3 linked regions of the Stegostoma tigrinum genome follow. The protein of the gene in region 3 binds, or shares a complex with, the protein of the main gene of each other region. Links are inferred from orthologs where the notes say so. Each region holds a gene or a part of one and is shown on either strand. Other genes may lie near its edges. The genes, in order: Kv channel-interacting protein 1, Kv channel-interacting protein 2 and kcnd3.

The links.
Region 1: the proteins of kcnd3 (region 3) and Kv channel-interacting protein 1 are in contact, whole or in part, in a crystal structure (PDB 2NZ0), measured with the Homo sapiens proteins. The link is inferred for Stegostoma tigrinum from reciprocal best matches to the Homo sapiens genes KCND3 and KCNIP1. Residues at the interface, in NP_001365898.1 of Homo sapiens: Ala6, Ala7, Trp8, Leu9, Pro10, Phe11, Ala12, Arg13, Ala14, Ala15, Ala16, Ile17, Gly18, Trp19, Pro21, Val22, Pro26, Met27, Pro28, Leu29, Ala30, Pro31, Lys34, Lys36, Arg37, Asp39, Trp54; in NP_001030009.1 of Homo sapiens: Leu67, Arg69, Gly70, Phe71, Glu74, Val80, Phe85, Ile88, Tyr89, Phe92, Phe93, Tyr101, Leu105, Phe109, Phe122, Ala125, Leu126, Leu129, Leu130, Leu138, Trp140, Thr141, Leu144, Tyr145, Ile161, Val162, Ile165, Tyr166, Met168, Met169.
Region 2: the proteins of kcnd3 (region 3) and Kv channel-interacting protein 2 are in contact, whole or in part, in a cryo-EM structure (PDB 7W6S), measured with the Homo sapiens proteins. The link is inferred for Stegostoma tigrinum from reciprocal best matches to the Homo sapiens genes KCND3 and KCNIP2. Residues at the interface, in NP_001365898.1 of Homo sapiens: Val5, Ala7, Trp8, Leu9, Phe11, Ala12, Arg13, Ala14, Ala15, Ala16, Ile17, Gly18, Trp19, Met20, Pro21, Val22, Ala23, Asn24, Cys25, Pro26, Met27, Pro28, Leu29, Ala30, Pro31, Asp33, Trp54, Arg60; in NP_775283.1 of Homo sapiens: Arg112, Gly113, Phe114, Asn116, Glu117, Cys118, Val123, Phe128, Ile131, Tyr132, Gln134, Phe135, Phe136, Tyr144, Leu148, Phe152, Phe165, Leu169, Ile172, Leu173, Arg180, Trp183, Ala184, Leu187, Tyr188, Met201, Met205, Ile208, Met211, His228.

The regions. Positions count from the first base shown.
Region 1 is NC_081366.1:63,377,050-63,384,621, forward strand, and holds the start of Kv channel-interacting protein 1, read right to left. Parts: upstream 3,046-7,572; 5' UTR 2,198-3,045; coding exon 2,095-2,197; intron 1-2,094. UniProt on the Homo sapiens protein: Regulatory subunit of Kv4/D (Shal)-type voltage-gated rapidly inactivating A-type potassium channels. Regulates channel density, inactivation kinetics and rate of recovery from inactivation in a calcium-dependent and isoform-specific manner.
Region 2 is NC_081373.1:13,470,091-13,477,611, forward strand, and holds the start of Kv channel-interacting protein 2, read right to left. Parts: upstream 3,102-7,521; 5' UTR 3,084-3,101; exon of another isoform or gene 2,626-3,083; 5' UTR 2,607-2,625; coding exon 2,489-2,606; intron 1-2,488. UniProt on the Homo sapiens protein: Regulatory subunit of Kv4/D (Shal)-type voltage-gated rapidly inactivating A-type potassium channels. Modulates channel density, inactivation kinetics and rate of recovery from inactivation in a calcium-dependent and isoform-specific manner.
Region 3 is NC_081374.1:6,113,878-6,121,498, forward strand, and holds the start of kcnd3 (potassium voltage-gated channel subfamily D member 3), read right to left. Parts: upstream 3,051-7,621; 5' UTR 2,595-3,050; intron 1,769-2,594; exon of another isoform or gene 1,654-1,768; 5' UTR 1,594-1,653; coding exon 482-1,593; intron 1-481. UniProt on the Homo sapiens protein: Pore-forming (alpha) subunit of voltage-gated A-type potassium channels that mediates transmembrane potassium transport in excitable membranes, in brain and heart. In cardiomyocytes, may generate the transient outward potassium current I(To).

The sequences.
Region 1 (7,572 bases), on a different chromosome or scaffold from region 3:
CAGGGAATTACAGACCACTGAACCTGGCATCAGTGGTTCACACATCACTGAAGGGTATTCTGAGGGGCAGCATTTACATGTATTTGGAAAGGCAAGGACTGATTAGGGATAGTTAACATGGCTTTGTGTGTAGGAAATTGTGTTTCACTAACTTCATTGAGTTTTTTGAAGTGACAAAGGAGACAGACGAAGGCAGAGTAGTGGACGATGACTGCATGGACATCATTAAGGCATTCAACAAGGTTCCACACGGTAGGCAGTTTAGCCAGGTTAGATCACAGAGAATACAGGATGAGCCAGCCATTTTGGATACAAAATTGGCTTGAAGGTAGGAGACAGAGGGTGATGGTAGAGGGTAGCTTTTCAGGTTGGAAGCCTGTGGCCAGCTGTGCACAGCAAGGATTGATGCTGAGTGCATAGCTTTTTGTCATTTATATAAATGATTTGGATGTGAACATTGGAGGTGCAGTTAATAAATTTGCAGATGATACGAAAATTGGTGGTGCAGCAGATAGTGGTTACCTTAGAGTACAACAGGACCTTGATCAGTTGAGCAAATAGGCCGAGGAGCGGCAGATGGAGTTTAATTTAGATAAATGTGAAGTGCTGCATTTTGGCAAGCCAGGACTTGCACACTTAATGGTAAAGTCCTGGAGAGTTTTGCCGAACATACAGGTTGCAGGTTGATAGTTCATTGAAACTGGGGTCGCAGGTTGACAGTGTGGTGACGATGATGTTTGGTATGATTGTCTTTACTGGTTAGTGTGTTGAGTATAGGAGTTGGGAGGTCATGTTGCAGCTGTCTAGGACATTGGTTGGGCCACTGTCGGAATACTGCATTCAGTTCTAGGCTCCCTGCTATAGCAAAGATATTGTGAAACTTGAAATGGTTCAGAAAATATTTACAAGGACATTGCCAAGGTTGGAGGGTTTGAGCTATAGGGAGAGGTTGAATAGGCTGGGGCTATTTTCCCCAGAGCATCAGAAGCTGGGGGATGGCCTTATAGAAATTTCCAAAATCACAAGGGGCATGGATAGGGTGAACTGCCAAGGCCTTTTCCCCAGGGTAAGGAAGTCCAAAACTAGAGAGCAAAGGATCAAGGTGAGAGGGGAAGGATTAAAAAGGGAGTAAAGGGGTAACTTTTCACACAGCGGGTGGAGCATGAATGGATTGAGCCATCAAAGAAGGTGGTGGAGGCAGGCATAATTACAACATTTTAAAGGCATCTGGATGGGTATATGAATAGGAAGGGTTTAGAGGGATATGGGCCAAATACTGGCAAATAGGACTGGATTAATTTGGGATATCTGGTCAGCATGAATGAGTTAAAGCAAAAGGTCTGTTTCTGTACTGTACATCTCTATGATCCTACTATATTTCACTATATTCCTTTGTGTGTTCCATTATGTTAATGAGTATTTTCTATATATTACTAGGTTTGTAACACTATATTATGGAGTAAGTAAATGTTGCTGGTTTTGTTGCACTACGTTATGAAATGATTACACTAAATTAATGGGAAGCTATACTACTGGGTAAGTAACACTGTTTTTCAATTTTATTACATTATATTATTGATAAGTGACACTATATATAACTGTCCATTTCTGAATAAGTCACTGGCAGACCTGTTGAGATTTTCCAGCAATTTCTGTTATCCTACTATATTACTGTATTCCTTACTCTATCTTGCTGAGACTGTGTTCACAATGTTAGCAGAAAGTTTCATTCTATTAATCGTTACGTTTCAGTACATCACTTTGTAAGTTTTAGTTTATTATCGGATACATTTCCGGTTCGGTTTCAGTAATATTGCTATGTACCTCCTGCAATTATTTCAGATACGCCCCATCCTGCAACACCAGCTTGAGTACGAAGAGCACAAGGGCCAGCTCACACTCCCTACCATTCCTGCAGCTGCGACAAGATTTCAAATGAACTTGAAATCAAGCAAAAGGTATTATCGCTGTAGAAACACACGTCTATTCCGGGCGATTGCCTGCTTTAAACCAGGCTTCAGTGTACAAGCCTTCGCTCAGAGAGAATGAAGACGTGAAGCAAATCACAGGCTGTGGCTGCTTCCAGCACCTTACCTCTTGAATGTCTCCTCTGTTTTGTTGGCAGGGATAACGTACCCATCACTGCTCCCATTCTGAATGTCTTTCTCGTTCTCTTGTACTCAGTTCCTTTTTGCATTCAGCTGTGAAGGCGTGCTGGACCCACAGTGTGTTCGGAAAAATCAGGCGCCTGGAGCTACTTCCACATTTGCACACACACACACGTGTTGGTGAGATTGATTGCGAATGCTTTGCACTGTTATTCCTCCAACGTGAGTTCAAGGCTACTTCAATTCCCTCAGCTGAACACTGTGGGCTGTCACAGAGCTACATTGACTGACGCAGCCGCCAGATCGAAGCGGAAACAAACGTTGTCTGTAGCTGTCCGCACTCTCGTGTTTCACCAGCTCTCAGTAGTCACCACCAAAGGCTGTGTTCTCTACCAACGCATACCAAACAGACCTTTCACAGGCAGTGATAGACCCACGGGACTGGGGAGTGGACCAGATTACTAATGTCAACATCTCATTCGGAACTCAATGTAACACTGGTGAAAAATTACACAGCGGACACGATACTGTTATTTTCCCCAATTTCACATCTAGTGTTTGAATCCTAGAAACCCTACAGGTGGAAGCAGGCCATTCGGCTCATTAAGACCACACTAACCTAAACAGATAAATAGAAAGCGGAACAAAACACCAGCGCTTCGTCGGAGGCTCACTGATGATGTTACCTAGAATGGTGACGAAACGTTTGAAAACCAACCTTCCAGCTCAGCGAGCAAACTCACATCGAGACCACACTAACCCTCCGAAGCGCACCCCATCCAGGTCCACCACCCTACCCTGTAACCCCACATTTCCCAGACTAATCCACACATCCTTGAATGATGGAAGAAAACCAGAGTATCTGGAGGAAACCGGCACAGATACTGGGAGAACGTGCAAACTCCATACAGCCAGTCACCTGAGGGTGGAATCGAACGTGAGCTCTGGCGCTACGAGGCAGCAGCGCGAACCACTGAACCACCTTGCCGCCCATTTCCAGAGACACCTCTCCCTACGTATTCAAAATTGGCAGATGTGTAACTAACAATAATCTTGCAGACTCGTGTATCACAGGGAAGTGTAAAGAGGCAGATGCATCATGGCTGGTTGTGTACTGGTGGTGAATAAGTAGATCTGTAGAATTGAGGGTGTTACAGGTGTGTGTAATCTATTAATGCATAACAAATGGGCGTGTACCATACGAGTGTGCAGTGCACAGTGTACAACGTATGAGTGTGCAATAGGCATGAGTGCTTCACAGGTAGGTGTTTCAAGAGTGAATGTATTACAGGCCATGTATAATGCACAGATGTTTAACCGATGGCTGCGTAATTAGCGAAAGTGCGATGAATGGGTATAATGGATAGGTTGTGGAATCTGAGAATCAAAGAATCCCTACAGTGTAGACAGAAGCCATTCAGCCCATCAAATCTGCAGTGACCTCCTGAACAGCATCCCACTCAGACACTCCCCCCACTCTATTTCCATAATCTTGCTTTTGCTATGGTCAATCTACCTAGCCTACACATTCCTGGACACTATGAACCAATTTAGCATTGTCAATCCACCTAACCCCCATATCTTTAGATGGTGGGAGCAAACCAGAGCACCCAGAGGAAACTCACGCAGACATGGGGAGAACATGTACACTTCACATAGACAGTTGCCCAAGGCTGGAATCGCTCCTGGGTCCCTGGCAATGTGAAGCATCAGGGCTAACCAGTGTAGGTGTGAGATTTGTATTGTAGGTTGGGTTGTAAAATGTGAGAGTGGTAAACTGGGTGAGTGGTTACAAGGTATAAAGGGGGTTGATTTAGTTCAGTTCACTGGATATTTCGTTGGAAAGCAATGGAAAGCTCTTCTCAACTTCTCTCATCATCTGAGGTATGGTAGCCCTCAGTTAAATCACCATTAATCAACTCTCTCAAATGAGAAAGAAGCCATATAGTCTGGTCAGACTACGGCAACACAAAATTTTGTGTACTAGGTGGTTTATTTTTTGGGTGGTGGTATGTTGTGTGGGTGATACAATGGCTAAGTCATACTAGGTGAGTGATATAATGGCTTGGTTGTATATCTTACAGACAATATCCCAGGCACCATCATCACTACCCTCCCTCACCATTAGGACAGATCCAGCAGAGGTGGCAGCACTGTGATATACAGTTGGAGGAAGATGCTCTGGGAATCCACAGTATTGACTCAGGACCCCGTGAAGTCTCATGGCATAAGGTTAAATATTAGCAAGGAAACCTCCAGCTGATTACCACACTCCATCCTCTATCAGCTGATGAGTTAGTACTCCTTCATGTTGAACAACACTTGGAGGAAACCCTGCGGGTGGGAAGGGTTCAGAATGTACTTTGGATGGGAGATTACAATGTCCATCACCAAAAGCTACTGATTGAGCTGGTGGATGGGTTACGTAGTGGGTGGCTTATGTAGAGGGTGGGTTATGTAATGAGTGCATTGTATCATAGATGGGTGGTATAATAGATGTGTTATATAAAACATGGGTTGTACAATTTGTTGGTTGTATACTAAGTGGTTGGAATAATAGATGGGTGGCATAGTAGGTGTGTTGCATAATGGGTGGATTGTATGATGTGTAGCTTGTATAATAGGTGGGTTGTACAGCGAGTGGGCTGTATAATAGATGTGTAGTATTGTAGGTGTATTCATTAATGGTTAGATTGTATAATACGTGTGTTATATAATGGGTGGGTTGTATAATGGGTGGGTTGCATTATAGGTGAGTTGTATAAGTGTGGGTTGTATAGTAGGATGTGATGCAAAGTGGGATATGTTATGTAGTGGATCATTTATATAATGGGTAGCAATGCTTGCAGAAGGTGGTGGCACAGTAGTGATGTCACTGGACTGGTAATCAAGTGCTCCAGGCTAATATGTCAGGGATATGGGCTGAATTCTATCATAGCAGATAGCCTCATGGTGACCCTGTAACCACTGCCAATAGTTATAAAAACACAATCTTAGGTATTAGTGAAAGAAATCTGCCATCCCTACCCAACCTGGCCTACACGTGACTCCACACCCACAGTGATGTGTTTTAGTCTCAAATGTCCTCCAAATTGGCCTGGCAAGCCATTCAGTTGTATCAAACAGCTACAGTCCGACAAAATGATCAAAAGTGGAAGCATTTTACAGCATCAAATTAGGCTTCACTGTTACTGGGTCAAAATCCTGGAGCTCCCTTCATAACAGTGTAGTGAATTTATCACAAAAGCTACAGTGGTTCAAGAAGGCAGCTCACCACCCCATATCGAGAGGGTTGGACAATAATTGCATGTCTGGATAGTGCCTGCCATATCCCCTATCAACATCAAAAAAAGTACTCTTTTTTCCCCTCAGTGTTCAGGAAGTGTGGAGAAAGGGCATTGACCACAGGAAGAATCAAATCCTCTACTGGCAGGTTTTCCAATCACTAGACAGCTCAAATGTCCACCCGCTAAAACTGTGCATTTTGCGATTGCTATTTAATACACATTTGAACTGCAACACTGACCCTCTTTGACCTGAATGGGGCACTAATATTGAGAACAGCCTTTTTTGGTTTCCCAATGCCACACAACAAGATTAAGTAAGAGGCTGACAATCACTTTGTCCAAAGCCACTCGCAGTCACATCTGCAGAGTTTGGGTGGATGGTAGTGGAGGAAACTCCATTGTAGTGTCTTCACAAACAGTCAATGACAGCTCTGACTTCAATGGATGCTGTCAGTTCTATACTTACTGAACACTACTACACAGAATGAAATCGTCATCAATAACTCAGGTTCATTGTACTGGAAAACCACTGCTGCTTTAAAGTCGAGTTGTCATGGGAACAGGATGTTCCACATCCTTGTTTAGCACTTTCTTTGATGAATCTTTATGGCCAGAGAATGGGAGCAGTACAGTTACATAGAACATAGAACATAGAACAGTACAGCACAGAACAGGCCCTTCAGCCCACAATGTTGTGCCGACCATTGATCCTCATGGATGCACCCTCAAATTTCTGTGACCATATACATGTCCAGCAGTCTCTTAAATGACCCCAATGACCTTGCTTCCACAACTGCTGCTGGCAACGCATTCCATGCTCTCACAACTCTCTGCGTAAAGAACCTGCCTCTGACATCCCCTCTATACTTTCCACCAACCAGCTTAAAACTATGACCCCTCGTGCTAGCCATTTCTGCCCTGGGAAATAGTCTCTGGCTATCGACTCTATCTATGCCTCTCATTATCTTGTATACCTCAATTAGGTCCCCTCTCCTCCTCCTTTTCTCCAATGAAAAGAGACCGAGCTCAGTCAACCTCTCTTCATAAGATAAGCCCTCCAGTCCAGGCAGCATCCTGGTAAACCTCCTCTGAACCCTCTCCAAAGCATCCACATCTTTCCTATAATAGGGCGCCCAGAACTGGACGCAGTATTCCAAGTGCGGTCTAACCAAAGTTTTATAGAGCTGCAACAAGATCTCACGACTCTTAAACTCAATCCCCCTGTTAATGAAAGCCAAAACACCATATGCTTTCTTAACAACCCTGTCCACTTGGGTGGCCATTTTAAGGGATCTATGTATCTGCACACCAAGATCCCTCTGTTCCTCCACGCTGCCAAGAATCCTATCCTTAATCCTGTACTCAGCTTTCAAATTCGACCTTCCAAAATGCATCACCTCGCATTTATCCAGGTTGAACTCCATCTGCCACCTCTCAGCCCATCTCTGCATCCTGTCAATGTCCCGCTGCAGCCTACAACAGCCCTCTACACTGTCAACGACACCTCCGACCTTTGTGTCGTCTGCAAACTTGCTGACCCATCCTTCAATTCCCTCGTCCAAGTCATTAATAAAAATTACAAACAGTAGAGGCCCAAGGACAGAGCCCTGTGGAACCCCACTCACCACTGACTTCCAGGCAGAATATTTTCCTTCTACTACCACACGCTGTCTTCTGTTGGCCAGCCAATTCTGTATCCAAGCAGCTAAGTTCCCCTGTATCCCATTCCTCCTGACCTTCTGAATGAGCCTTCCATGGGGAACCTTATCAAATGCCTTACTGAAGTCCATATACACCACATCCACAGCTCGACCCTCATCAACCTTACTAGTCACATCCTCAAAAAACTCGATAAGGTTTGTAAGGCATGACCTACCCCTCACAAAGCCGTGTTGACTGTATTTGATCAAGCCATGCTCTTCCAGATGGTCATAAATCTTATCCCTCAGAATCCATTCTAACACCTTGCAGACGACAGACGTGAGACTTACCGGTCTATAATTGCCGGGGATTTCCCTATTTCCTTTCTTGAAGAGAGGAATTACATTTGCCTCTCTCCAGTCCTCAGGTACGACTCCAGTGGAGAGCGAGGATGCAAAGATCTTCGCAAGTGGCGAAGCAATTGCATTTCTCGCTTCCCAAAGCAGCCGAGGACAAATCTGATCCGGGCCTGGCGA
Region 2 (7,521 bases), on a different chromosome or scaffold from region 3:
CCCTTAACTGATCTTTAGCAATTAGGGATGGGCAACAAGGACTGGCCTAGCCACTGATGACTTGAATGAATATATCCCTTGTTAAAGTTCTAACCCATTTAAAAACTGCTCCCCCCCAGATACACACACACACACACACACACACACACACACACACACACACACACACACAAAACATGCGTGTTACGTGTGAAGGGAAAGCTGGATGATTAGGCAGGTGGTCCCCATCCACAGGGTTTGCTTCTCAATTTTCTTCTTCCTCCTGTTTGCAAGTGACTCGTTCACACTAATTAAAAGTCAAAGTTTACTATCATTGATGAGAAATAAACTTGCTTTCTTCAGGGGTGACCTGGCAACTTCTCACCTGAGTAAATGCACCCAAACTATTGAATCATCTCTGTGCCATCTCCAATGCAAGTGCATTCATCCTTAAATATGTAATAAATCACACGGTACTCCGGCTGTGAGCTCAGCAAGACCCTGTACAATTATAACAAAACTTCTTTCACGTACTTCAAGCCACTTGCAAAAAAGGCCAATATGCCATCTACCTTCCCAATTGCTTGTTCCTTTATTCTTTCATGAGATGAGGACATCACTGATTGGGCAGTATTCATTGCCCATCTCAGTTACCCAGAGGGCAGTTGAGAGTCAACCACACTACTGTGGGTCTGGAGTCACATGTAGGTCAGGCCAGGTAAGGATGGCATTTTCCTTTCCTAAAGAGCATTTGTGAACCAGACGGGGTTTTCCTGACAATCGACAATGGATTCATGGTCATCGTTGGACTGTTAATTCCAGTTTTTTAAATTGAATTCAAATGCCACCAACTGCCCTGGTGGGAGTAAAAACCCAGGTCCCCAGAATGTTATCTGCGTCTCTCGATTAACAGTCCAGCGATAATACCACTAGGCCATTGTCTCCCCATGTTGTGCCTGTGTGCTGTCTGTCTGTATACCTTGTACAACAATCATCATCATTATTGGTGATTCTTCACAGATGAGGATAAGTCTGTAGGTAACTGTACAGACCAACGCAGCTACTGCAGGCTCTGTTACACTTGGGGCAGGTGGTGCTCACAGGGAGTGGGTGGGGTATTGTGGCGGTGCACTCCTTTCGCTCAGTTTCCATTTCTTCCTGACGGCAAGTCTCGAGGTGCTCAATGTTTTCCCGGATGCCCCTCCTCCACTCTGGATGGTCTTGGGCCAGTGATTCCCAAGGGTTTGTGAGAATGCTGCACTTTGCCAGTGCACTAGAATACCCAAGTCTCTCTGAGTGTCGATGTGTGAACTTTCACACCTTTTCAAAGTGAATAACCTCACATTTCTCCAAATTATACTCCATCTATTACCTCATTGCACACGTGCTTAATCTGTCAACACGTCTTTGCAGTGTCTTTGTGTTCTCCCCACAATGTATACTGCCCCTAGTTTGAATCATCAGCCAGTTTGGGCACATTACCCTCTGCCCATTCAAACCATTAATAAAGATTGAAATTGACTGAGGCTCCATGACTGACCCTCGTGCTGGCACTCCACTATCAGCCAACATGAACAGGCTCCATGTATCCCTACTCTTTGTTGAGCAATCTGCTTTCCTTGTTAATATATCACACCCAACTCCTTGAGCTCATGCGTAGCGTATTAATTGTTTGAGTGGCACCTTATATCGTATGCCTTTGGAGACCACATTTACTGGTTCCCTCTATTAATCCAATTAAATATTTGCTCAAAAACATACAATTCATTAATTAAATTTGACCTTTCTTTCTTAAAACTTTGTACGAACATACTATGCTTTTCTAAGCCCATTGTCAGGACCTTCTTCACAATAGATTGGGGGTTGGTTAGAATCAATGGCAAGCGTGTATTTTAGAATATTGCTGATTCATTCCCAATTCTGTTGTAGTAAAACCTAAATCTGCCCTTTCTTTGAGACTGACCAGAAGCACCTCAGGCTGGCAATGAAGCATCAGAAGACGAACTGCCAACCTCATACGCCCGAGCTAGTGCACAAGCACATGAATGTAAAATTGATTCCAACACATTTTTTCCCCCAAGGACTAATGTCAGGATAATATAGCTGCAGTTCCCTATTTTCTCTCCAGCCCCCTTCCTTAGATAACAGTGTTATGTTTGCTAACTATCAATCCGCCAGTGAATCTACTTTCTCTGCAGCGACCTCTTTTAAAAATCTCAAATGTAGGCCATTAGGGCCTGGGGATTTGTCAGTTTTTAATCCCTCAAATTGGGCTGTAGTTCTTTTTCTGCTGTAACTAATTAACCTCAATTTCCTCACTTGTTTTTTTAGCCCCAGTCTGATCAGACAGGGACTGCATGATAGACTTTGTGTTTGTCTCCCATCAGAGTTAGCAATTAAGCTATCGTTTACAAATTTAGAGTCTTCAAGAACCTTAGACTAGGTTAACCAATAAAATTCAGACAAAAATAAATGAGGGGGCACTTTTGGTCTGCCACCCATTTCCTACCTTCACTGGAGAAATCAATCAGTCCCAGGAAATGCAACAGCTTCAGAGAACTTACAGCCAGAAAGACAATCCCTACAGTCTGCAATCCCTCCGACTCCCAGTCCGTATTTAAAACCATCTCGACTGCCTTCTGTCATCTGGTTTGGGATTTTTCGTGGGGCAGCAGGAGATGGACGCAGAGCCACAAGAGATGGAAAATTATACGAACATAAAGGCACAAGTCATTAACAGGGTAAGAGGCACAGACTGAGAGACAGAATGATTCATTCACACAGAATGAAAAGACAGATTGGGCTACAAGACACTGAGAGATAAACAGTGAGAATCACAGAGTGCGATGCAAAGAGAGTGAGAAAACAGAGGCAGAGAGAGAGATATGTAGATAGTAAGAGATGCAGAGTTGACACAGATGGAATGGGTGACTCAGCGACAGACACAAAGGCAGAGAGACAGAGACAGACAAACAGAGTGAGAGTCACAGAACGAAACAGGGAGGTGGGGGAAAAGACTCACAGCGGGAGACAGAGACAGGAACACGCACAGGAGAGTCACGGGGAAGCAGTGGATTTTGTGGGATTTACGGTGAGAAACATACACAGAGAGTTAGGATGACAGACACAGTGAGAGAACCTGATAAACTGAACTGTCAAAGATGAGAGGGCGGGTTCCATCGTTTACAAATCTTTCTGCGCCTGCACGTTGTGTTTTTAAACACTCAGTGGTTGAGTCAGATTTTCCCCTTTGGCAATGTCAGTTAAAACGAGCACTGTTGCCAGTCAAGTGATGCCCACTTGGATCTGGCATTTCGGGAGCCTCTCTGCTGAAAACTCTTTGCTCCTGAGAAAAGGTGAGTGCTTTTGTTGTAGGTCACTGTCTGGCTCACTGAAGGGCAAGGAGCAGCACTGAACCTTGGACCTGCAACTTCAGAGGAGGAGATCCCAGGTAAGGAAGAAAACAAAGGCATTGGAGCTGTGGAGCTGTGAAGAAAGGAGAGATGGGGGTACACTGTGGGTCTCCCAGTGTCAGAAGAAGAAAAGCAAGACACTTCTATCCACAGCAGATGAAGAAGGACTGCAAAACTCATGAGCAGGTAAAAATCTGTGTTCCTTAATACTATTTGTAGCCTCTTTGTACTGATATCTTGCATATTGAACATATGCCTTCTGCCTCACTGTATGTCCCTCCCACCCTTTCACTGTTGTGCCCTGTGCCATTCTGACTCCGATCCGTGACACTGCCTGTATTATGGACGTCTCTCTTCTCTGTGAAGGTGCAAAGTCTTTGCAAGGGCTTTCCCCAACTCTGCTGTGCATACCCTAACTCCAAGCCCCATTTGACCATCTTTCCTCAGCTCGCTGACTGACGCTGGTCCTTGGCCTTGGCCTAAAATTATCCCTCCATGGCCTCTTCCTATCCCCTTTCGTATAATCTCCTCCGGCGCTACAAATCTCTACAATCCCTGTACTCTTCCGATTCTTCATTTTTAGTGGCCTTGTCTTTAGCTGCCTGTGTGCTCTCCTATCTGGAAGTCACTGCCTAAAAATCTCCACACCTTTGTCTTCCTCTGATCTGGTCTTTTAAACCTTCCTCTCTGATTAAGTTATTTAAGGGGAGGTGATGGCCACAGCAGATGGTGGAATTTGAATTCAAGTATCTAATGATGACATTGTGCCAATTATTGGTTCACTAATGCCCTTAAGGGAGGGGAAACTGCCATCCTTACCTGGTCTGGCCTACGCATTGACTCCAAACCCACAGCAATATTGACTCTTAGCTGCCCTCTGGTAATTGGGGAAGGGGAATAAATGCTGGCTTGCCAGTGATGCCCTCATCCTGTGAATGAATAAAAAGAAATGGGTCACCTGTCCCCCTATCTCACCATCTGCTTTGCTATGGGTTCAATAGGCATAGAAGTTGGTGTTTATGATAAACTATGTGTGCTCAATCATGGCTTTGTGTAAGGTCGTAAAACTCTCCGAGGTGTGAAGATGCCCACTGCACCTGCCCTTAGCCAGGGACTGACACATCCTGCCAGGGCTCAGAGTTGGGAACTGCACTCACAGTGGACTCAAACATTTTTATACAGGCAAAACATCTTGGCTTCGTACTCTGTACCTGTCCCCACGCAGAGTAGCCTCGTGTGTATGTCACAGTCACTTTCACAAGCACACTCACACACACTCTCAACTACTTGTGCACACTCACACACACTGACATACTCACTCATTTTCATTCTCACCCGCTCTGTCATCTAATTGTGCGTGCACGCACACTTATTCTCTTACATTCTCACACACGTGCACTCTCTCTCGAGCGCACACACACACACACACACACACACTCTCTCATCCTTGCACTCTGACATTTTCACATTGTGTCGTACTCAATCATACTCATCTTCTCAAACTCCAGGTTTTCACACACACACCCTCGCAGTCATTCACATTCTCACATACTAATTCTCACTTTCTCACTCTCACAGTTACAGTCCCTAGCAGTGTGCTTCCCCCCTTGATATTGAAACATCCTGTTAGACCGCTCTCTGTCAGAGATATCGCACATACAGTCACATGCTCGCGGATATTACTATGATAAAGTGTTGATGCCAGCCTCAATCTTCCCAACGTGTTTTATTGACTCTAACAATTGACTCTAACAAGTTATCCATAAGTCTCTCGGTGTCATGGCAACAGGAAACGTTTGTGAAAGGAAGAGCTTTGTGATGCTTTATTTTAAGATCCAGCTTTTAACATGTAAACGGTTCATAGTTTGCTTAAAATGGGAGACAGTACAGGGCACAGGGAAATTATAATTCCTTTTATACTTGTTGTTTCCATCAAACACTCCCAGCAATAGGCTTAGCATGGGGTTAAAGATCCCTCTACAGTATCCTCATCAAACACTCCCAGGACAGGGACAGCATGAGGTTAAATACAGAGTAAAGCTTCCTCTACACTGTCCTCAACAAGCACCCCTGGGCCAGGGAGGAGTGTACAAGGATTAAAAATGGATATGTCTCTCTTCATAATTGCTGTTCGGTTCCATTCATGTCCTCAGCATCCTCAATGTTTGTCATAATGTAAACAAAGTTTGATTCTCGGAATTACTGGAAAATAAGGGGCTCAGGTTTGATTTGAGTAAAGCCTGATTTGGAAAGGAACCGATAGCCCGGCTGGAAGGAAACTTTAAGTGTTGGTTGGAGAGTCTCAAAGAAACGGATATTATCTTAAGATGAGAGTCAGGCCCTTGGAAGTGGTTCAGGGATCATGCCTTCACACAAATGCGGAACCCACACCCAGCCCCCAGAAAGTGGAAGATGTCAGCTCAGTTAATCAGTTAAGATGTGTGTTTAGAATGAAGGTGCCAATGTAGTTGAATAGCAGAACAGGCTTGGGGGGGGGAGCTGAATAGCCTCCCCTTTTTTATATATCCTTCCTGAGTTGTCAGTCAATGGCTGTCTGCTGTGAATGAGGAGCAGCTGTTTAACTTTCAGGAGAGCACACTGGCAATGCCATCTGGTGATATCAATATTGACATATCTGGGGAAATCTCATTTTTTACCTCCGCAGCCTTGGGATCGCAGAGGTGTCGTTGGATGGAGAATGCCAGCTGGTAATGTTGTTATTTTGGCTCCAAAGAAGACTTGGGTTCTGAGTCAACACAGCGTGGAGCTGGAGGAATGCAGCAGATCAGGGGAGCAGGAGAGTCGAGTTTACACCCTACAGCAATCATGATGAAGCCTCCACCATCTGCAGTTCTTGCTATCACCGAGAGGCTGGGATTCTGTTTGGTCTTGGAGTGCTCTGACTGTACTAGAAAATCACATCAGCCCAAATGTCCTGCCCTATGTTGGGCCCAGTAGCAGCATTCTAAGACAGAGTTGTGGGGAGAAGACCCACTCCAGTGGTTTGAGGGAGCTGGCTGCGTTATGTGAGAGACGCACCACTAGAGAGGCCATTTTCATCAGTATAACTGAAACAAGCTGCTCCTCTGTCCCTTTCAGGTGGATTCAAATGACCCACAGCACTACTATAAGGAAGAGCAGAGGATCGAGTCAGTATACGCTCCTCAACATGTCATCACTGTGGAAATGGATTACTTAGGATTGTGGGATCTTGCTGTGCATAATTTGGCTGCTGCATTTCCCCCATGACAACAGTGGCTACACTTCACAAATTACAGGCTGTAAAAAATTCAGTATCTTCCATGGGGATGAATGGCCCGAAACAGGGGGTGGATTGGAGTGGCATGGTGGCTCAGTGATTAGCATTGCTACTTCACAGCGCTAAGGACCTAGGTTCAACGCCACCCTCAGGCAACTGTCTGTGTACAGTTTGCACATTCTCCCTGGGTCTGTGTGGGTTTGTTCCAATTTCCTACCACAGTCCAAAGATATGCAGGTAAGGTGGGTGGGATGCTCTTCGGAGGGACAGTGTGGATTCAGTGGGACAGATGGCCTTCCCCGAACACTGAAGGGTTTCTGTGATCTGTTAAACTCTCACTGTCTCAGTTGTTTTTTAACTCTGAGGCAATGAAGTATGAGGATAACTTTCGCCTGCTCAGTGTGGGTCCCAACAGACCTGCTCAGCTCCTCATTACTAACCTGATCCAAGCAAGGACACGAAAGCTGTTAACACCAAAGGGGAGGTGAAGCTGACATCAAGGCAGTGTTTGAACAAGCGTAGCATCCAGGAGCCTGAACAAAATTAGCGTCAATGGAAATCAGAGGAAAAATGATTCAGTGCCTGGAAACATACCTATCAAAAATAAAAATCTTTGTTGGATGCCAATCAGCTCAGTGCTGTCCCTAAGATTACAATAACACTCAAGAGGTACAACATGAATCCAGAAAACGGGCTGAAGGGCCTGTTCTGTGCTGTACTGTTCTATGTTCTAAAACACTACACACTTGACTGGCACGTCATTCACCATCTACAACATTTACTCTCTTCACCACCAACACTAGGTGGCAGCAGTGTGTACCAGCTACAACATTCACTCTCTTCACCACCAACACTAGGTGGCAGCAGTGT
Region 3 (7,621 bases):
CCGCCTGACAAAAATTAATATCTGGTGCTGCCTCTCTGTCTCCGTGTGAAATGTAGCAACTGTTGGCAATGTCTGGTACTCCTTAGAAAAGGGGATTAAACAGAGTTAATTCCGTGAATGTAATTATAGACGTCCAGGCTGCTCGTCAAATCATGAAAGTTCAATGCCTAATCTGGAGCTGAAACGATATTTAATTAATCCCTTTTCTACTTTCAACGCTTTGCCCTTTGCTATTAAATAATAAAGGCGATGTTATCATATATTAATTTGAGATTACTTTGTAAAGCAAATGCCGGTCTGGGGGGCGGGGGCGGTGGTGGCGCGGTATTTGTTAAAAATCCACTTTTCTGGCTAATGGCTTTATTGAAGTCTTCAAGCGAACCAGTCCTCGCACACAGAAAGGGAGAGTTTGGGACCTCTTTATCAGAATAACGGGATGGGGGTGGGGTTGAGTGTAGAAAGTAAAAACCTTGAGACTTACCCCAGTGTTGTCATGGTGACAATGGTGTACCAGAAAGAGGCGGGAATACTTGTAAACTTGCTGTGTGTTGACCCTTTTTCAGCATAGAACATCACAGTAGCAAAAATGATGATGGCCATGGTGAGCGAGAAGAGGAGGAACCCGAGTTCAGAGGCACAGCTCTTCAAAGTGTAGCCGAGGATCCTCAGACCTTGGGAATGGCGAGAAAACTTGAAAATCCGGAACACGCGAAACACCCGCAGAGTGACAAAGGCTCCACTCACATCTTCGTTGTTGGTCATCACCAGGCCAATGTAATAAGGCATGATGGCCACCACGTCAATGATGCTCATCACGCTCCTCATGAACCGGTAGCGGCTGGGGGCAGCGAAGAGCCGGAGGAGGTATTCGACCGTGAAGATCATCACGCAGGCCGTGTCCAGGCAGAAAAAAGCCACCACGTACCTCTCCCCGCAGGGCAGGTCTTTGTCATCGCCAGGGCCAATGCCGCAGGGCACAGTCTCCACCACATTGGTGATCACTGACACGGCAATGAAGAAGCCAGTCACATAATAGAAGACTAACGCTAAGGTGCTGGTGTGAGGGTTTTCAAAGGCTCTCCACATGGTCTGGCGGCAGGTTCGGGACGGAAGGTTACCCTCCGCTTTGTTCTCTGAGTCACTATCATCCATCAATCTCTCAGCATTCTCCCTCTTCCGGTCCTTGTACTCTTCATAACAGCAGTCTCCAATAATCTCCGGGATGATGCCAAAGAAGGCCAGCTCTTCATCATAGGCTGAGATGCACTCATGCCTTGGGTAGTGCAACTTGCCCGTCCTGTAAAAATTCAACACGTTCCTGAAGATGTCAGGGTCCCGGTCAAAGAAATATTCCTTAGTTTCTTCATGGAAGAAGAACTCCTTTTCTGTGCTGCCCAGTAAGGTGTCTGGGAATCTCTCCAGGGTGTTTTTCCATGTTTGGAAGCGCCTGCCACTCACATTGAGGATGATGAGTTCATCCTGTTTCTTATTCTTGTCTCCTGGGGCAAGGGGCATGGGGCAGTTGGCCACTGGCATCCATCCTATGGCAGCAGCCCGGGCAAAGGGCAGCCAGGCCGCGACCCCGGCTGCCATGGCTAGTCCGGACTGGGGTGGCTACAGAGGGCAGCACCTTCTCTGGGTGCTCGGCGACATCTGCAAGGGAAAAGCAGAGAGTGGTTTCCAGGAGAGGGGACTAGTGTTCACCAGTACATCTCACTCAGGCATTGTCACTGTGTCCAACTCTCACTTGTTTCAGGAGTCCTCCTGCCTGGTAGAAACAGTAGATAAACTGGAATAAAAAAAATTCATAAACCAGCCCACAATCATTACAGACCCCCACTCAGCTGGCAAACAGGTTCCCAGTAAATGGTGCAGGTGACTCTCATCCCTATTGCTGGGGAATGTATTGAGGGAGAGGGAGGGAAAGGGAGGGACTGGGAGAGGGAGAGGGACGAAAGAAAGGGAGTGGGAGAGGGAGGAGTGGAATAGGGAGTAGGAGAAGGAGGGAGTGGGAGTGGAGTTGGAGAGGGAGGGAGAAGGAGGGAGTAGGAGAGGGAAGAGAGGGAAGAGAGGGAGGGAGAGGGAGTGGGTGGGAGAGGGAGAGAGGAGTGGGAAAGGGAGGGGGTAGGAGTGTGAGAGAGATGAAGGGAGAGAGAGGGAGATATTCTATTCTCTGAAGGGCTGGCGTCTGTTTTTCTGTCCCACTCTCAGCTCTGCTGTATTTGAAGGACGGACATCCCGTTGATGAGAGAATAAACTGAATGGGAAAGTGATAGAGAATATCCGACTCTGGGAGTATTTTCAACCAGACAAATACATTCTCTCAATAAAAAAAATCACTTTCAACAATATGAGAAAAAGCCCGTCAGACTTAGGGAAGGGGGCAACATGGCTGTGTAGCAACTGCTCTACTTAGGCATTTGAATTAAATCCGCAAGGCAAGTTTAAACTTACAGCAGGGTCCCTGTGACAGGGAAGTGAGAAAGTTTGGAGAGGAGCATCTTATTCTAGCCGACACCCCCCATACCCACACCCCCCACCCCGACCACCCAACTTCCCTCCCTCCCTCCCGGTCCGGATACCCAGCAGCTTACCTCAGCAACAGCAGCAGCGAGGCTCCCCGCTCCTGCTGACCAGGACAATTCTTATTCCAAAGGAGAGAAAGAATCCGAAAACAACAACACCAACAACAACAAAAATGGAACGGCCTCCTGCTGAAAGCGGCAGGTAAATCCCGCAGTAACGAAGGAGGCGAGTAGAGATTGGGAAGTCTGAGGGCTCTCTCTGTGTGGCTGCTCTTAGCTCAATGCACCCCCCGGCTTCTCTCTCGGAGGGCTTCGGGAACCAGCTTTCACCTTTTGTTGTTAGTGTTTGCATATGTTTGACTTATTGCCTTTCCCTCTGTCTCTCTCCGTCTCTGTGTCTGCCTACTATAAATGGAAGTGGGTACAATAGGCGGGTCGGGTTGGTGATGGCATGTCTCAGCTCAGATGATGATGAACAGTGCTCTCGCTCTCTCTCTCTCTCTCTCTCACACACACACACACACACACACACACACACACAGTCTGTGGGCACTGGCGGTGTTTCTGAACCTGAAGAGGTACTATGACAGAGACAGAGAGAGAGGGCGGGGGAGAGATCCAGACTTTACAAAGCACAACATGTTACCTGATTGCTGGGCGTAGAATCAATCCCGTGCACACCCCCCCCCCACCCCCGCGCCAACACCCCCACCCCCTGCACGTCGTATTGTCTCCAGAGGAACCTAGAGACGCTAGGCTTGCTCATGGGCTAACTCTCAAATAAAGCAAGGTTCAGTGGGAAGATGCAACAGCACGGCGCCCCGGGGAATATGGAAAGTTGGGAGGGGGTGGAGGTGGGGGAGCAGAGACAGAGGTTTAAACTGACCTTCACTGGGTCCGGGGACTCCCAGTTAGCCATGACGCAGCTGGCTGGCCATTTCTGGGTGCTGCTCATGGGAGGTTTGCATGGGTCTGGGGTGGTGGGGGGGGGGCGCACTAAATTGGCCCCCAGAACGATTCAGAGGCGAAAGACCGCCACCAGTTTCTGAAGGCACTCCATGCGGGCAAACTATTTATTGGCACGTGTCTCACACTTGTAGAAAGAAAGCGTTGCTGTCCGCGCTGGGAGATGCTGGGTTAAATACACAGCGGCTCGCTGTCGTTACCTCCAGTCCGACCCAGTGCAGGACCTCTCCCCATTGTGCTATTGACTGCGAACACTGTCCCTCAGAGACCATCCAGGCCTCCAACCACTATGCGTGCGTGTGAAGTGGGGTGGGCACGTATTAATTTGTGAGGTGCAATGTTTCTGGCCTGTGTCGGGGGGGGGGGGGGGATTGCAATAAAAAAACTCAAGCAGGTATCATAGAGGGCACAGGAAACTTCACCACTGAGTTCTCTCTTGACACACTGCTTCCAGAATCATCAGTTCAGTTTTCCTACAGCTGTGGTGTGTGTGTTTAATGTTGTCCTAAGTAGCGTAAGAAAAAAAAACTTTCCTAGGGCAAAGCAAAACGACACATAACGGACGATTAAACCTGGGGATTAAGCCTAAGAGGAATTTTGAAAATCTGAAATAAATTGGCAAAGTGTTGGGAGCAGGGGACGGGTTGCAGCGCAGAAAAAACTCCCCACAATCAGCTGTTTAGAGATCTCAGTGTTTCCCTTTCTCTTTCCGTGTCTTGTCAATATCAAATGCTGAACATTAGCGGCCGGGCTGGAGTCGTTCCAAAAGCGGGCTATTTTGATTTTGTTTGGCAGGTGCTACAGGGACTATAATGTGTTGCTGAGTTGAGTTAACTAACTTTTTTTTATTGTGACGAATGGGTTGTGAGTGGTTCCTTTCACATAGCTAGATGGCGCAGCCTCCATTCAAAAACTGCAGCCGAGCTCTCCCCAATGCTAAATGACAATCCCGAACTTAGTCAGCCCGCTTTCTCTGTGATGTTCTACCTCACCTTCTCATTTTTCAAACTTCCCTGTGGTTTCCAAACTCATGAACAAGCAGGCAATCGATTGGAAGTGAATGGAAAGGAGATACTGATTTGTTAAAAGATTGAAACGTACAGGGAGACTGGATCGCTTAGAGCTTCATCCACTGGATTTAGAACTCTGAGGAAGGATCTCATGGAAAGTTGCTTCTGACACGAGACAGGTTTAGTGCTGGAGGGATGTTATTGATGACCAGGATATCCAGAACGAGGGGTCACAGCCTAAGTATATGGGGTGGGCCAGGTAAGATTGAGATGAGGAGGAATTTCTTCACTCGGAGAGTGCGGAGCCTGTGGAATTCTTTGCCACAGAAAGTGGTTGAGGCCAAAACATTGAATGTTTTCAAGGATTTAGATATTGTGCTTAGGGCTAAAGGGATCAAAGATTATGGGATGAAAGCGCAAACAGGGGGCTGAGTTAGATGATCAGCCATGTTCATATTGAACAGCAGAGCAGACTCGAAGGGCTGAATGAACTCCTATTTCTGGGAGAGCAAATTTTAAAGATGGCCAAAGAATTGTTCACAACCGATTATTTATATTGGCTGATAATTGTATGTGTTGAAACCTGAACATTGAAGGGAGAGACTGTTTGCAAATACCCTTTGGTTCTGATGAACTATTACCATTTGCATGACAAATCAGTGAGAGTATGGAAATGTGCTGGCCCACTAATCTGGAAAATTAACCTCAAATTTGGGATTATCGTTGGCATGGACTGTTTGGACTGACAGCTCCATTTCCGCATGGGATGACTCTATCTGGGAAAGAATGATTTGGGGATGTAAATGAACTTGGTAACTTTCAGAGCCCATGTAGTGATGCAACATTAATGTAAAATGCTTCTCTTTTAAGTATTTTAGAATCTAGTGCAATTTGCATACGGTCTTATTAGAAGTTTAAGTTTCAATGTAATAACTCATTATTCAACCTGTTCAAATGCATGAATACCAATTGCATTTTGAATTAAACATTTTATGTTCAAGATTCTCTTCACTTTAACTACGCAGCCCCAGCGATCAGTGATTTGGTGATAGGGGAACGGTGTCTGGGCTGGGATCAGGCAGTGGTGGGGTCAAGCATTGATTTCCAGACTGGCCATGAGATGGCCAAGGTGCTGTGTTAACTGTGTAACAGGTAACCCCAGGCGATGACTCCCTCCATACAGACCATACTGAAAGTTGCTTCACACTTTGTTTTTTGCAAAACTAATGGTCACTGTCATCAGATTCTTAGAGTATGGACAGTATCTATGTAAAACAGGTAGCTCTAGTGAATAGATAAAGAGGGACTCTGTGGAGTAATGGTAATGCTCCTATCTCCTGGCCAGGAGTTCTATGTTTTAGTGTCAGCCTTCCCCAGAGGTGTTGTAACATGACTGAACAAATTGGTTAGAAAATGCCTACAAATGATCAGTCTTACTGCAGGCTTTGACTCCTTCAGCAAGGCATTGTTTTATGTTAAATGGGGCGAAGCCAGTGATTCAGCCAAAGGCTCCAACTCTGAAGACTGGCAATTCCTGAAATGTGCTGCTGAAAATCAGCCCCCAGCAACTCTTAAAGAAAGTTCAAGAAACTCTTGCTTCCTTTATAATAATGGACTTTGAATACATCTTTGATAAAGTGCTGTGTAACAGACCCATGATGAAAATCAGGGAACATTGATTCAGCAATCAGCTAGTGGAATGAATTGATAGGTGGCCATTAAACAGAGTGCAGGGATTAAGGCAAGCTTCCCTTATCGACTGTGAATTGGAACTGGGTCCAACAGTGAGCCTTCCCCTTGTTCATAATACTCTCAAACAAGTGGGTCTCAGAAACTGGAGTTCTGTTCATGGAATTTACATACTTTAGAAAATTGGTGAGGGTGGGGCTGTTGGTGCCTGCGGTTTATAATGATGGGGATGGAATGAAAATATTATATAGCTTGCAGGAGTGACAGGATAAAAGGCAATTGAAACTTAACAAACGTTGATGGTCAACTCCAGTAAAGGATAAAATCATCAGATTCTGGTTCCTCATGAGGGAGTAGAACAGCTGGTTACCACTTAACCTAAGAGTCACACACCTCAGATAAAGAGAGAAGTTGAGAGGGAAGCTCCTTTATGGGAACCTCAGCCAGTACAATGTTGGTATCACACTGTATTGTAAACCTGCCAATTAGACAATTGAGCTAACCAAAGTACCCAAGGCCCAGCTCATCTCTATTCAGAAGGCTGAGATAATGCTGCTGTAGCTATGTATTACTCATAGGGAATTACAAAATTCCCACCATTGCTCTAAATGTTTCATATATTACGGTAACAGTGACAGGGTTGACTAGGATTCATTGATGAAGGGTCAGTAGACTCAAAATGTTGACTCTGCTTTCTTCCCACAAATGCTGTCAGACCTGCTGAGTTTCACCAACAATTTCTATTTTTGTTTCACTTGGAGCAGTTGAGGTATCAGGGAAAGGGTATGACATAGGATTGATTTGGGGAGTCCTGGTGGGATAGTTTCACCATCTCACTGCTACAACCTGGAATAATATGATTCATTGTTACCATCAGAAGGTGGTCTCCAAACAGGTGATAGATCATTGAAGCCCCCTGGGATTGAGTGAGCAAGTGTCATTGTTAATTGCTCAATGTTCCACTGAAATATTCTCCTGCATGTGGCACATAGGAACAGAAGAACACTATTTGGCCCATTTAGTTAGATCGTGGCTTAGATGCATGTTAATGTTCTTAAGCTGCCTTGGTTCTGTCATCCTTAAAGTCATTGTCCAAGAAATCTCCCAAACTCTGTTCTAACATTTTAAATTGATCCCCCATGTCATAGTATTTAAAGAGAAGAGTTGTTGATTTTGACTCACTCTTGTGGGGAGAACAGCATTTCTGGAAGCTACTGATGAAAGGCCTGACTTTAATTTTTATGATTAGGCCTCCTTGTTCTGCCCTGGCAGAGAAATAATTTCTCTCCATCTACACTTCAAAACATTTACTCATCCTAAACACCTCATTTAGATTGCCTCTTAATATTTTATACCCAAGGAAATGTGACTCAGTCAATGCAAATTGTCCTCATAATATAACCCTTTTAGAAGTAGAGGAACATGAAAAAC